4 linked regions of the Bombyx mori genome follow. The main gene of each other region encodes a partner of the protein of the gene in region 2 in a complex. Links are inferred from orthologs where the notes say so. Each region holds a gene or a part of one and is shown on either strand. Other genes may lie near its edges. The genes, in order: mediator of RNA polymerase II transcription subunit 20, mediator of RNA polymerase II transcription subunit 25, mediator of RNA polymerase II transcription subunit 24 and cyclin-C.

Region 1 (3,090 bases), on a different chromosome or scaffold from region 2:
TAAGTGTGCAAATTTAATAAATAGAACGTTATTATTGTGTGGTATTCCTATAATTACATTCATAAAAATATACCGCGATGTATAATACTAATACTAATAAAAGTAATAACTCTATGTAAAGGTAGAAAGTAAACTTCTTGACTTCATACGTTATCTCAAATTCTTCTTTAACCTTATCCGGTGTATGAAAACTATCCCCGAATAAAAATACATGTTAGTGTAGCTTATTTTTGACACAGTTTGGCCAGACTGAAGGAAGAGTATCATTAAAAATAATAACGAAACAAATCTATTTATTATGTTTTTGATACAACTACAAAATCTACCATAAAAAAATCGTGAAGAGTGGATTATATTTAATAAACTGTTTCAATTATTAACTTGACAGCTTACAGCAATATCCAGTGCCAGAGAACAAGACCGGAACATATGTAGTGGAGTTACTTACAAAGCGTATCTTAGCATTAGGGGCGACACAACAAGGACAGTTCCTGGTTGATTGCGAGAGTTATTTATCACATCCACTCATGGGTACGTGTTTACTGAATCCAAGCTAAAAGTAAAAAGAAAGACACATTCCACTTAGCGATTTATAGAGAAATCACACAGCCCATCGCCAATACATGGATATGACATATTTGAAAATATTTCAGACATTACAAAGGTGTCAGCTAGTTTATTGTACTTAAAGTCCTCGTGGCCTATGTGGCCCGAAGGTGGGTACCAATTTTCGAATGAAATACGTACTTAACAAATATTCACGATTGACTTCCACAGTGAAGGAATAACATCGTGTAATAAAAATCGAACCCGCAAAGTTATAATTTGTGTAATTGCTGGCGGTAGGACGTCTTGTGAGTCCTCACGGTTACCACCATCACACCTATTTCTGCTGTGAAGCAGTAATGCTTTTTGGTTTAAAGGGTGGGGCAGCCGTTGTAACTATACTGAGACCTTAGAACTTATATCTCAAGGTGGGTGGGGCATTTATGTTGTAGATATCTATGAGCTCCAGTAACCACCATCCATCCACTTAACATCAGGTGGGATGAGAGCTCCCATCTAAGCAATAAAAAATAAAATGCAAGGAATTTATAAAAACCAAAGCTAATCGTGTACTTGATAGTTGAATTGAAAAGTTGATGAGATGCTGATACCAATATTTATTATCTTTTCATCAAATTCAGCCAGACCACTTAACGGTTACCATTACTTGCATACGCTTGTGGAAATTAACAATACGAAACACACTTACCTAAAGTTTTGTCTAATGCTGCTTTTAAAATTTCTGACAGCAAAAACGTAACTCAAATATTCCAGGTACAACAAAAACAGTACATATATTACACAACTCTGAGCAGCCTGCGTCTGTCTTCTCAATCCTTGAAAGTGGCACGAAAAATATTCACGTCATAGCTGACGGACTATTTGACTTGTTAATGATGAAGTTGTCTCAGCATTATACTTCTAAGAAACAAACCAAAATCGAGAGCAAAGGACCTAGGTTTGAGCTCGGAGATTTCTGTGTGAAGCTCGGATCAGTTACTATGAATCAGAATTTTAAAGGGATTTTGATTGAGGTGAGTGAATTGAATAATTAGTGAATAGCTATGTTAATATATGTGAACACTTGGAGGCATCCAGAACGTCCGTCACTATATCTATAATAGTACATAAAGATAGATGGAGAAATACGTTCCTAAAAAGAATACTTCCGTAATATTATGTTAAAAAAATCTTTGTTTTTTATAGATTGCTGTTGTTGTCAAAGTTTTCAAAATTTGCGTAGTGAATATTAGGGACCATGAAAATTATATCATACTTGACATTGGCTACCTTAATACATGAGGTTGAAGTGCCAATTATATTAGATAACTGTTACCTATTATTTAAAGTGGAACACCTTGGTGGCGTGGTGGTGCCTTGTGGCAGAAATATGCCCAAAGGTCATACCTAGTTTTGGGGATTGAATAGGCTTGATAATTATAACAATATGAAGCTATTTTTTCTATGGAAATTTAATTGTCAGGCATACATTAGGCATCTCTTTTTTTTGAGTTTTCTTAGTATTAGATGTTCGAGCTCACCGTCTATCTGGTGCTAATTAATACTCAAAACACATTTTTGGCCAAGGGGCAACGGCTAGACTTTCATATTGTTGCATAGACTAGACTGGATGTGTAGGAGTCAATCTATCAATCAATTCAATCTATCAATTCTCTTTTCCCTAACTCTCTGTCATTGCCTCAATATCTCAGACTATATTGATATTATTCACAGTATCATTAGAATATGTTCTATAATTTCTAGGTAGAATACAGACCATGCGTAATGGCTAATGCGGTCTGGGGTCTGCTTCGAGAGTTCCTTCAAGGATTGTTAGGGCCAACTGTTCCGGTCCAACCTCCTCAGCATCTAATAAGCAGAATGAACGAAATATACACTCCAATAGACACAATATATCAGTATTTAGAACATTTCAGTGCTTACAGAAAGACTACAGGGATGAGAACGACATGAACTAAGTTGACTGTTTTGTGTTTTTTTATTAAATAAATATGTACATTTTACTCATTCGTTTTTAGTTGTTCTATGACAAATGTCTGGTAGTTATGTTTTAAGTAGGGACATAGAGTCAAGAGATTTTTTTAGAAAGTTGTCTCTGGCAGGTAGATTGTTAATAATGTTAAACTTGAGAGGTTCGAACTTTAAATCTTTCTAATGACATTAATCAGACAAATATTGTTACTATTCTATGTAGTGATCTCGTGGGGTTATTCTAGATTCACCCAACTAGTAGGTGAGATCACGGGGCTCAAACCTGGCGTCGTTGCCAACATGAACCTTAGCAAGAGCCATGCTTCGCAGAATCTACCACCGGATCGGAAACGCGACCCACTGAGAAGATCTGGGGAGAAACTCAGTGGGCTTTGTCTGTGGATTCATTTACTTGCCAAGCCCTTCGTCGCAAGCGAAGGGTTCGACGAGAACGATGACCGGTGCTTGGGGTACCTAAAAGCACCGTTAGTGGATCGGGAGGATCCGAAATGACGTGTTTTGGGCGACGTCGACTGTTTATCATTCGGTCCG
Region 2 (4,286 bases):
TTTTCGTGAATCTTAGCGTGCATATCGGCCAGGGTGGAGAATCGGACAACATCTATTTTTCATCCCCCTAAATGTTAAGGGGGTTCACCCCTAAATTAATTTTTTTATTTTTTAGACAAAAAAATTTGTTTTTATTTTTTTATGATACAGAATACAAAAATACATACAACCCTAAATTTTCACCCCTCTACGATCAACCCTTATTTTTTATTTGTAAATCCTTACACACTTACAATAAGTTAGTTTTTTTTTTCTACCCTAGAAATCTTTTATATGGCAAAACAACGTTTGCCGGGTCAGCTAGTAATTATATATGAATGCAATTCATTGAATTGAAGCAGTATCCGTCAGTGATTTCATTAATACAATGATGGTTGTTTTATTTATTATAGATCTATACTAATACTAATAATATATAAATCTACAGTGGTTTTTACAGATGTTCTGTTATAACTACTGAACCATGCATCCGATTGACTTGAAACTTGGTGTCCATGTAGAAAATACATGTACTTAATGGATAGGCTAATATCTATATGAGTGTTGGACTCCCTAATAATAATAACAACAATAACACAATAAATAATAATGTTAATTTTAAATGCCCAGCGAAGCAGGCGAGTACGGCTAATTATATATAAATCGGTATATTATATTATATATAAATATTGTACCCAATCAAAACAGACATATATTATAAATAAAAATGAGAAATCAAAAATAAATTAAATTTTGAATTAAAAAAAATTTGAATATGTTGTGTTTTTCTAAAGATTTAGACAAAACTAAATTAGTTTACCTGGTGGAACTATTCCTCCGGCGTAGGCAGAGTAAGGTGGGGAGCAGCACATTAAGACAGCATACATCGGTGCATCAATACGACCAAACTCATCGAAACATGTCAAGGCTGTTGTTAGGGCTTCAGTGATACAAGCTCTGCTCTCCGCATGTCCCCCAATGAATCTGAAGTTTTGTTTATTTATATGCTTGGTTTCACACAAATACAGAAATATTTCATTACAAATGTGTAAATTATTGTTTTATATAATTACATCATTTATTAATGTTTATTATGTATAGCATTAAGTACTTTAAAAATAAAATTCCCCTTTCATTTCATTTTTTAAATATTTTTTAAATAATAAACAAAACTAAATTAACATCATTCATCTTTACTTTCATCTTGTGGATACTGGTCAAGACATTAAAATTATTTTAGGTAATTTTTTAAACCTTGGGTTTTTAAACCATTATTGGAGTTTTAGTAAGGATCCCTAATTTAAAAAAAAAAAGATTTTATCCTATGTCACTCCAGAATAGTGTAGTTAACAGTGAAAGAATTTTTCAAATCAGTTCAGTAGTTTTGAAGCCTATTCAATACAAACAAACAAACAAATCTGTCCTCTTTATAATTATATATATAATATATATGATATGATATATATTATATAATATTAGTATAGAAGTATAGATGTCATAAGCCCAATTATTATTTCATCTCCTTCTACTTACTGTATTTTATCAACAGCTTCAACTACATTCTGAGGATTGTTGAAGGGTCCATAAACTGATACTGGTACTCCAGGGTGGCAGTCTGCAGCCTTGTATGTAACTATTGCATATACAGAGCCAGTACCACTGCCTTCTTCGAGAGCACCGCCATGGAAATATCTGAAAAAATGAGAAAATAATGTGATTTGATAATAACATGTTTTACTGTATTTCGATTTTTCTATTGTAAAAACAAAAGAATATATTGTAAACAGAAATTGAGTTTAACGGATAAAATGAACGGCTATTTCCATCAAACGTACCAAGCTGAACTAAATAAGGTGACGGTATAGAACTGTGTAGGTGGACGAGCCCCCATATAGACAGACAGCTGGTCATGTACTGATTAGGCGAACTGGGCTTCACAAATTGGGGCCCAAAGTATTTCTATAATATTCAAGTTGAAATAAATTAATGTGTTGAACACGAGGCGGCCCACCGGTGGGTCTAGCGTACTATAGCCAAGTCAAAATCAGGGAATCAGTAACTTTTATCAACTTCAGATTGTCACTCTAATATTTAAAAACTGTGACAATTTACAGAAAATATAAAAATTAGCAACTTATACAATCTAGTTTCTAAGATATTTTAAGAGGCTTGATAAACACTGGATTTGAAAACCAAGGCGTTCGGTATGGCTAATGGACCACGCTGCTCACTTCCATATATGTTTTGTTTCATAACTGAAATCTGTGGCTTATTGGAACCCTGACGCGGCCCACGGGTGACCCGGTTCAATAAGACAAGAAACACCGGTCAGCACCATGGCCTGAATGAAAATACTTGATTTTTCATGTTGCATTCAACGTATTAAAGTTGAAATTTGTCACTATAAGACAAGATAAGCCCCCGAAGGACAGTCACAACAACAAATCCAGAGTAGTCATTTATGTTGTGCTCTCTATGGCCTTCAGTTAATTACCAGATGAGCCGTGAACCCACTCATCTACAAACACGACAAAAATAAATAATTACTAAGACAACGACGAAGACGCTTCAACGTTTTAATAGATTTTTATTGTTATTTTAAGTTTATTTGTAATGGTTAACTTACTCTAATGTGGGTATAAGATAATTTACTTTTAGTTCGTTTATGAAGGCACCGTTAACAGCGGTCGCCTCAATCACAAACACTATCTCCGCTTGTACAGGAGTTTCCGGTGCGTTAGCCACCATTGCGACTTAGTTTAATATTTTTGTATGATATTCTAAAATGTGACAAATCTATGAAAACTTTAGCATAATCATTTAATTCACTTAATTTAAAAGAATAAAATTGAATGTTTGTTAATATGATGTTTGTTTATAGGTATGGTAGTCTATAATCTATGATGGTAGTGGAAGAATAAACTAGCAAGGTGAAATATTGACATCTCGAACTTTTTTATTTAGCAAGTCGATAATTTTGAGCGATGTGCAACATTTCATATTTTAATGTTTATTTTTCAAATCGATGTTTTATTTTTGAGATCAGGAACTCAAAAACTAAGTACGAAAATGAACCTTCACATCAGAGAGTTTTATACATTTTATTTTTCCTGTCATTTACGGTGAAGGAATAACATAGTTTAATAAAAATGAAACCCGAAAAATTTAAATATCCGTAATTACTGATGGTAGGACGTCTTGTGAGCCCACACGCGTAGGTACCCACCGCCCTGCCTATTTCTATCTTAAAGCAGTAATGCATTTCGGTTTGAAGAGTGGAGTAGCCCGAGTAGCCGTTGTGCTGTAAAAACTGAGACCTTTAGAACTTATATCTCAAGGTAGGTTATGTCGTAGATGTCTATGGACTCCGGTAACAAATCACCACTTAACACCAGGTAGGACGTGAGCTCGTTCCTCCACCTAAGCAATAAAAAAAATTAAGAATATTTATGTAATCTTAGATTATCTTTATCATTTACTTATGGGACTTCGTTATGAAGTATGTAATATGTTTCCTTTACCGGTATTGGTGATCAAAATAATAATGGACCGCAGTCAGCTGACTGTGTCAAAGTCAATACGAGCCCTGAGACTGCTTTAGGTTTTGGACAAAACTTGAATGATTAATTTGATCATTCTCCAAACTACTAGTAGTACTACAACTAAAATAGTTCAATTTAGCAGAGTTCGTGTTTGATAGTGGCTTTCGTCCAGTCCGTAGCTTGAATACGGGAATCACTTGCAACAAAAAAATTATTGCGATGGAAATAACTTTTCGTTCGTGTCGTTTGATCAACCGGCTTTTGAGAAAACCCCTCGCTTTAACAAGTTACAGAAGTGTAGTTAATGTCGCGGCCAAAGATGAAGTGAATACCGAGCTACTGACGAGTTTCAATAAAGATATTCAAGATGGTAAGTTGTTTCGTTCACCTTAAACAGATCTCACTCCTAATTGTCTAGTCTTGATGAACTTGTTGGCGTTAAACGGGATCCAATTGCGGTGGCCTGACCAGACGATGCACCGCTTTTACATACGTATACTGCCATTATAAGGAGCTCCCGTGTTTGGTTTGTCCCTAACTGTGAGAGTTGTGTAGTGTCGTATTGGCAGGTACGCCGCCCTGGAAGCGAGGTGACCGCTGCGTCTGCCACTGGCTATCCAAATTCCATGTCTACGGCTTGCTGTAACCCTGTCCTAATGTTATCTAAGTTTGGAAATCTGGATTGCTGCTTTGAATTGAAATTATTAAGTTTCTTCAGCTTGCACCCTGGCTGTTGATGGTATTTGTCAGATCCACGATGACTGG
Region 3 (4,297 bases), on a different chromosome or scaffold from region 2:
GATCTAGTTTTATACGTTTCAGGGCGATCTGTTTTAGAATTAAGTGACTTTTTAAGTCGAGCACTGTCCAAACTTAAATTTTGGCTTGTCTCCAACGCTCTTAATCTTTCTGTTTCAAAAAGTTGCATTGTGTTATTTTCTAGAATGCGGCTTCCTCCTCCTGTTTCCGTATATTTTGATAATGAACTTATTCCATCTGAAAATGAAATAAAATTTTTAGGAGTTATTCTAGACGCCAAATTATCAGGTTTATCACATTGTTATTACGTTATAGCTAGATGCGAACGAGTTTTGAATATTATGAGATGTTTAACTGGAGTCTGGTGGGGTGGACATCCATATAATCTAAAGCTCCTATACAACGCTCTCATACGAAGTATTTTAGATTATGGTACTTACTTTCTTGAACCATGTAATGCAGTCGGACTAAATAAGCTTGATGGCATACAATCAAAAGCTCTCCGTTTAATAACCGGTGCAATGAAATCTAGTCCTATCAATGCTTTACAAGTTGAGTGTGTTGACCCTCCTCTGCGACTCCGTCGTCAATATCTTTGTGACAAGTTTCTGTTCCGTGCTCTACAATTTACCAAGCATCCCCTTCATACCAAATTATCTACTTTATCACATTTAGTTTCATCTTCCCCCTACTGGAGGCACAAGTCTCTACCTTGTTTAGTCGTGAGTTTTCGTAAATTTTCCTCTTTGCTTGCCCCCACTCACATGTCTCATCGTCTCTCTATTTTTTCTGCTGAATATGAAGCATTAACTCTTGTTCCTAAAATTCATTTTACCTTAGATATATCTCGATCTATTTTTTCTGCCAATATCGATTTTAATATCATCTTAGATAGAGAGTGGTCAGATCGACATTACATTTATAGCGATGCATCTAAAAATTCTTCCTCTGGTCTCGTTGGTGTTGGAGTTTATCATCAACAATCAAAAATTGTCCAAAAAATTAAACTTCCACCAGAAAGCTCTGTTTTTACTGGGGAATGCTACGGATTATTTAAAGCTATAGAATATGTTAATTTGATGAAATTACATAAATCTGTTATTTTTTCTGATTCCAAAAGTGCGCTTCAGGCACTTCAGAAATTTCCTTTCAAATCTTGCGCCAATTACCCTGTTATTGTAGATTGTAGAAAATTACTGTGGGAATGTAATTTAAAAGGTTTCGATGTAATTTTTGCCTGGATTCCTAGTCACGTGGGTATTTCTGGCAATGAATTTGCTGATAAACTTGCCAATGATGCTGTGGATTGTGGAGATATTTATCCATACAAAATCTTCATAAATGATCTTTTGTGTCTTCCGAATTCAGACCTGCGCGAATCTTGGGGACAAACATGGGCTATTTCTAGTCAATATAAAGGAAAGAATTATGCCCAAATACAATCTGTCATTCCTACCAAGCCTTGGTTTTACAATTTTAGATTTAATAAGATCACGACTACTATCATAATCCGGATGAGACTGGGTCATGCTTGCACTCCATCTCATTTGACTAGATTGGGTATAGTCAATAACAATATGTGTGATTGCGGCGCTGATGTTGGCAATTTAAATCATATTTTTTTCGCGTGCTCCTTAAATGACTGTTCCTCATTTATTGATTTATTAACATCCCTTGGTATTCCACTCCCGACTTCTATTAATACTTTGCTGTGTACTATGAACTATGATATTTATTTATGTATTTCAAATTTTATCCTGAAACATAATATCAAATTGTAATTATGTATATAAATACCTACCTGATCCATTCTTTTTAATTATCCGTTTTTTCCTTTTTCTCCTGTTTCCCTACCTTTACCCTTGTATGTGGCTAAATGCACAAACAGTGCAAGCTAAAAAAGAAAAAAAAAAAAAAAAAAAAAAAAAAAAAAAAAAAATGTCTATTTTGTGATTGGGCTATTATTATTCAAGTTTGATCATATAAAGTAATGTTTATTCTCAAATGCTCGCTATAAATAAAATATCTTTAAAAATGTGATAAACTTAATATGCCACACAAATATAACGAATTAATTTCAATATTCAACAGTGAACAAGAAAATGTAATTTGTAACCTCAAAGACTAGTAGTAAAGTGTTGTTTAAACGACTAATATCACGTCAAAAATGTGTGAAATGTAAGAAAGAAACATTATTGTGCTCTAATAAAATACAATAAAAATGGATGCTTCCAAAATAACGAGTAAAACTAGTTCACTAAAAGCTTTAATTTTAAAAGCTTGGAAAGAACGATGGACTGATATTCAATGGGGCATCAACATCAAAACTATACTGCCGAGGGGCGTCAGTGGTGACCTATATAATCTGGCTGATTGTATTCTTCAACAAGCCATGGTAGGCTGTGGGGCCAATCAGTTAGTGATATCGTATTTGAAACATTCACTTGCGTGTCATTTGGTCTCTTTCGCGGCTGTGTTACAACGAATCGCAAAATTTGATGCTTTTCACAAACCTCATTGTATAATAAGCTTGTTGGAGTTCCTTGAAACCTTTTTGGAGAGTATTACATGCAGAGGCAAGTTAGAAGAAGAAGTTTTAGCTTATGCTGTATCATCTATAATATTGTGGCTTTTACAAGTATTTCACTATTCATTAACCAAGTATCCAGCTTCAAGTTCTGTTCAAAGTCAGGAATTATTGGAGAAATCATCAGTTTTACTGAACTCTATTGTTAATACAGATTTTCTGATTGCAATGTTCTATTTGGCCAAGCAGAATGATCCTGATGAGTATAACGAAGTGACAAAGAAATGTCAAGAGATAACAGCATTTATGATGATGAACACTCAATTCAAACCTCCGATGACCATACATGTCACTTTACACAAAATCTGCAATATGGAATTGGATAAAATAGCACCCTTAAACAATAAACCAGAAGCTGTAACCTATTGTCTGCAGGCTTTAATAGCTATAAATGTGTTCTCAAACCCTAGTGCAGGCATGCAACAGATCTCCAGCCAACTACTAATGGTTCAGAAAATAAAAGGCTATTCATTGTCACGTCTCTACTGTGAACTTATTAGAGCTTGTTTCATTTCACTAAATGATTCTAGTAATGATGCATCGAAGCAATCATTGTGGGCTGCATTCACTTTTCTAAAAGTTCCACAAGTGATAAATCACCTCCATAATATGTGTGGGACAACAAATAAGGAAAGTGAATATTCTACTGAGGTTGTGGAAGCTTTTGAAATGTTATTACAATCAGCTCCACTCCTGGATATTGTTGATACGAAGAATTCTTGTAATAGTGTTATTTCACTTATAGAGCCATTAGTTAAACTTAATGTTCTGTCAGATAATACTTTGACATATTTTAAACAAAAACGTGAGACTATTGATCATCCTTTACAAAAATTTGAGCCAATAGGATTACAAGGCTCAGTCCCATTATTTATAACTCGTGTTGAACCTACATTGGCAGAGATTTTAAAAGCATTGAGTGGTGAATTTCACAAAACTCAAGAGTCGCTCTATATCATGCTATGCCAAATAGTTGGTCGAACTACATTGGATACCATCCTGGCCGTTGCAACTGTGGAAGGAAAACTAAAAATGTTTGTGTCAAGACTCATTAAGTTTAATGAATTTGCATTGTTTGCTGCAAGTGAAAAAGGTGCACCACAATCAAAAGTATATATATTTGACATTTCATTTTTGCTTTTATGTTGGATAGTCCAAGATTATGGAGCTGATGTTGTTCTAGAAGAAAATGGTGATTCATTTTTTGAGAAATGGGTAAGGGATTGTATGGTACATAAAGGAAATTATAAATCTTCAGATCAGATACTTCAGAAATGTGATCATGTTGTTGATGTTATCATTCACCATTTGAGTGCTCCTGACTTTGATTTCAAAAATACTAATGTCAAACCTCATGATCTTTGTATGAATATCACTGGTGCAGTCAAAGAGGTTCTTTTTGCTTGGGAACAAGGTCTACTTTCGGCAACAGATGTTAAAAGAATGTTGGATTCTATAAGACAAAAAATGGCTTCCTTGGCAGTGTGTGCATCAGTATGGCTTTGTTCATACATCAATGTTGTCCATCAAGATGCATCAATAAAACCCATGAATATGGTTCAGCAATTTTTAACATCACCTACTGAATTAGAATTAACTCAAATAGACAATTTTCAAGAAAGAGCAATTTTGATGTGTCAGATAATAAGAAAATTACTGTTTAAAATTCATCCTACCTCAATGCCAAAATCAAAAGAGCAGCAGTTGCCATACAGTATCACCTCTCGCAAGCCAATATTAGAGCAACTACA
Region 4 (4,194 bases), on a different chromosome or scaffold from region 2:
ACATATATATCTATTTAAAGGATCCACCTCATTTTCAATGTTCAAAATTGTTAATGTTGACAAATGTTGTAAAATGTGAACAAATGCAACACAGTTAATGAATGAAGTATCAATGCTCAAAAACATGCAGACAGATAAGACTAAATTCATTAGAATTGCCTTTTTTCTTTAGCTTTTGTCATCTTACTTATCTTTGTCAGTTTACTTATATGAACAATGTTATTGGGCAGCATAGCAATACAATGACATTATTTAAACATTAAACTTGAAATAAAGGAATAATTTACTTTTGTGTCTAAAGGCTACAATAGGATACAATAGTCTTAAATCACATAACAACCAATAAAGAGAGTATCTTTGGCTTGTGATGGAAAATTAAATAACTTAGTTCTTGTTCTTTTAATTTATGCTCTAAAGTGTGCTCTACACTGTATTTGTTTATGGTTGAAAAAATTCATAAAAATCACTTGAAATATAAGTGACCTCATCAAAAATAGTAATTTCTTTTCCTAGGGAATTAAAAACAAATTTTTCATGTCTACAATTAAAAATTATATATCCATTATACAAATCCATACTACAAAATATGTCTTGCTATCTCTGGGGAGCTGGCTTTGGTTTGGGCATCTTGGACAATAGCCCTTGTATTTCTTTTTTTTCATCATAACTTTTCCACATCTCATAAAGGTTAATGATAGCTCTCACAATTTCTTGGATCTGTAAATTTGAATTTTTAAATGAGTAGTTTCAGAAGTTTTGTAATACAACCACACAATAACCATATTTTTTTTAATTTTAATATATATTCAAGTATATTTCTCACTTTATCCATGTCAACATTTAGCTCAGCAAACCAAGGTTTGAGATTGTCTTTACCAAGCATCACACATGCTATTTGTAAGGCACCAATTGCAATCTGTAATTCAAAATATAATGGCAATGAAAAGTTTTATGAATAAAAAATGAAATGTGACTATTTGCATTACATAAATCATACCTGATAGGGTGGGTACAACAAACTAACATCTGTTCTCAAGGAATCGTTTACTATTCTCCAAGCGTATGTCAGAAGTTGATCATCTTGTCCTATGTCTTGGACAAAAAGTAGTAATGGTCTATATGGTTGGTATACAATTAAACAACAATCTAAATTTTCTAGTAAATAAAATTCACACTCCAGAATGTGATTTGTCCTGTACGGGAACTCTTGTTGTCCATAAGCATAACTAAACTTATTTTTTATAACTGTCTGGCAGGTTGTTATTAATCTGGAATTGGATATAACACCAAATTCTTCAACTTTAGATGCAAGAAATACGCATGTTGGTGCCAAAAGAAGTGGATCAATACACTTCAAAGAGTTCCTTGCATAAAATCTTTTAAAGTAAACTGTTGCAGTTGCGATTACTTGCTGACGAAGTTTAAGTTGTTCGCCTAAAACTTGAATTATACTAGCAAAAAAATTAAATACTTTTTGGTATTCTTCTTCTGATAAAATATTCAAATCAAACTGGCGATCGCGCCTTAGCTCTTGCTTATCGAGTATCCATTGTTGATGATGTGAGCTTTGCCAAAAATTTCCAGCCATTTCTTCAAAGGCAAAACACAATAATTATTAAAATTTGGTAAATTTTGATTTATCAAAAAAACATACTTTTTTTACAAATTTAACATTTTTCCATCCATTCCTATTCTATGAAACTTTTGAAACTGTGTATTTTAGTAATATGTATGCATAACCAGGGGGGTGCAACTCCCATACAAAGGAAAAGAACATTCAACTAGCGTCATCTTTAGGAACCGGCGAGGTCATTTTTGAAACGTTTTGGCCTTAATGATCTAATAAACTCACTAGATGGCAGGTACGAGTTCTGACTCAATAAAAAAGGTTAGCGTACTTTGAAGCAGTGCTTCCACTTTTAGGGAATTCTCCCTTTTTTAGGGAAAAATAGCTGATATTTTGGATGATAAAGACAATTTAAAAAATACCAGGATTTAGGATAGTTCGGGGTAAAAAGCAAAGCCTATACTAGTAACTGTTGTGAATTTTAAAATAAACGATAATTAAAGTAAAACAATGAACATTTTATTTTATGGAGAGAGAATGACATTAAGTCGAGTTGACAAGTAAAAGAATAAAACAGAGTTGTGTATAAAAACTATAAAGAAGGTTTGATTCAACAGTAACCCTCTAGTAAAGTAAATTATAGATTAAGCCACTGCTTTTTTCTTAGGGATTCCCCAGAATCCCAATAAGTATAATCCGCCAAACTTTTATTTACCTATTTTCGTTGATGTCACCAGAACTTACTTGTATTGTAATATACAGGTACTTCATGTACCATGAAAGATTATCATGGTAATTTCATTTACGAAAACCTTGTAATTGTCATTTCACTTTTGCTAGCAGTTCCTTCTTCAAAGACTGAGGTGGAAAGATAATTCAGTGTTCTCAAATGTAAAAACTGACAAAAGAAACAGGCTTTCTAATGAAACCCTGAACGGCTTGCTTCATAGAAAGTTCCCAACTTTGCCAGCAAACAATTGCTCAATTTTAGAACCGAACAGTGTTAGGTTGCGTGCAGCAAAAGAATATAAAAGCAATGCGTCGACTTCCTTGAAAATTCTAATCCTATATATCTATGATCTTCTGGGGGCGTTTATATTATATATACCTACATTAAATAATATGCTGTGGTTTATTTTCTGTATTTTATTTATACTTTCTATATAAAGGATTTATGAAAGTTGTCTAGGAAATTTTAGGGATAAATTCAAAAGAAACTAGGGTAAAATGTGTTTAAAAAAACGTAAGTGGAAACACTGCTTTGAAGTTTTCAAAATTCCAGGGCCGTAAAACAATCTCAAAAAAAAAAAAAAACGTTTTCAAAATGTCGTAACGATTTAATTTTTTAAATCGTTTTTTTTTTGTCTTGGTGTGAGTTATTTTACGTTGTAGTATTAATTTAGAGCATCTTTTAGCTTTATGAGAATATTAGACGATTAGACATTGAGAAACTCTGTTTTGAATTCTCTTTAGACATAACTTGGTTCCAATACTTTTTTCTTCGTTAGCGTTTCGTAAGCCTGTGTAACTATTTTCGTTTCTTACAGAAAGTTTATTATTAAAAATCAGCATGCCTCGAAGATCGAAAATGAAATGCTATTTCGGATGCCTTGATAACGGTGAGTTTACACTATTTTCCCGGTATATTATTTGCTAACAGAATTATTATTCATAATATAATTAAATGAATTAGCACCAACTAATGGTCCTTCCTATTTCTGCTGCCTAGCTATCATATATGTTAAGTTTGATCAAAACAGTCGGTGTTAAGTCTCGTACTATCACACACACACCTCAGATAATAAAATTGTCTCGAGTGGGTGGAAGTATTTATGTTTTGCAACTCAGCGTATTATATGCTTATTGTCAAGTGGGCCCGAACTAGTTTTTTGGAATGGAATAAACAGGAAAGCATGACTGATTGATAGTCATGCTTTCCTGTTTAAATAAAATACAGCACAATTGATCTCACATCCAAAGTTAAATGATGGCATTCACATTTTGTTTCCTGGTGTTTGATAACCAAGTTACACCAAGTGGCCTGTGACCACGTTCATCCTTCTACCCAATATAAAATAATGTTTTTATTTTTGTAGACAAAGGTTTGATAATGACAAAATTTTATGGAAAAATTATAAGGAGCACTAAAATGTCTGAAACATGAAAAGATTGATGCACTATATTTGAACCAGAACGTGTTATGTAATATATTAATTTGTAAGTATGATTACATTAACACTAAATTTTTCATGGTCGTATTTTTTCAATATTTGTTACATACTTAAGATACTTTGTTTCTCCGTTTCAGAAGAGAAACTGATTCAGCAAGGAATGTGAACTCACAAGGGATCTTAATTTTTTTTAAATATGTTTATAATTTATAAATTAATAATTGAAATAGTTCATAAGAACTAAATTGATGCCAATTTTGTTTTAAAATAGGTTGTTTAGTTCTTATAGTTATACTATTACGTTTTGAATAGTTGTAATTAGTAAGTTAGTAATATATGAAAATACTGATATAAATTTTTGTAAATGAGCTTTTGTAAATTCTACGAGAAGATGATTTTAATTAATGATCAAAAGTCAACGATCTTCAAAAGCATTATTTGCAATTATTTAGATTA

Evidence for each region.
Region 1: mediator of RNA polymerase II transcription subunit 25 (region 2) and mediator of RNA polymerase II transcription subunit 20 share a complex: the UniProt entries of both Homo sapiens proteins name them as parts of the mediator complex. The link is inferred for Bombyx mori from reciprocal best matches to the Homo sapiens genes MED25 and MED20.
Region 3: mediator of RNA polymerase II transcription subunit 25 (region 2) and mediator of RNA polymerase II transcription subunit 24 share a complex: the UniProt entries of both Homo sapiens proteins name them as parts of the mediator complex. The link is inferred for Bombyx mori from reciprocal best matches to the Homo sapiens genes MED25 and MED24.
Region 4: mediator of RNA polymerase II transcription subunit 25 (region 2) and cyclin-C share a complex: the UniProt entries of both Homo sapiens proteins name them as parts of the mediator complex. The link is inferred for Bombyx mori from reciprocal best matches to the Homo sapiens genes MED25 and CCNC.

What each region holds. Positions count from the first base shown.
Region 1 is NC_085134.1:1,809,432-1,812,521, reverse strand, and holds the end of mediator of RNA polymerase II transcription subunit 20, read left to right. Parts: intron 1-388; coding exon 389-531; intron 532-1,320; coding exon 1,321-1,580; intron 1,581-2,310; coding exon 2,311-2,520; 3' UTR 2,521-2,570; downstream 2,571-3,090. UniProt on the Homo sapiens protein: Component of the Mediator complex, a coactivator involved in the regulated transcription of nearly all RNA polymerase II-dependent genes.
Region 2 is NC_085126.1:7,906,784-7,911,069, forward strand, and holds the start of mediator of RNA polymerase II transcription subunit 25, read right to left. Parts: upstream 2,895-4,286; 5' UTR 2,728-2,894; coding exon 2,606-2,727; intron 1,672-2,605; coding exon 1,513-1,671; intron 964-1,512; coding exon 800-963; intron 1-799. Other genes in the region: malonate--CoA ligase ACSF3, mitochondrial, read left to right, coding at 3,741-3,891. UniProt on the Homo sapiens protein: Component of the Mediator complex, a coactivator involved in the regulated transcription of nearly all RNA polymerase II-dependent genes.
Region 3 is NC_085113.1:5,802,014-5,806,310, reverse strand, and holds the start of mediator of RNA polymerase II transcription subunit 24, read left to right. Parts: upstream 1-1,454; 5' UTR 1,455-2,180; coding exon 2,181-4,297. UniProt on the Homo sapiens protein: Component of the Mediator complex, a coactivator involved in the regulated transcription of nearly all RNA polymerase II-dependent genes.
Region 4 is NC_085121.1:11,205,396-11,209,589, reverse strand, and holds the start of cyclin-C, read right to left. Parts: upstream 2,877-4,194; 5' UTR 1,589-2,876; coding exon 998-1,588; intron 917-997; coding exon 824-916; intron 718-823; coding exon 595-717; 3' UTR 1-594. UniProt on the Homo sapiens protein: Component of the Mediator complex, a coactivator involved in regulated gene transcription of nearly all RNA polymerase II-dependent genes.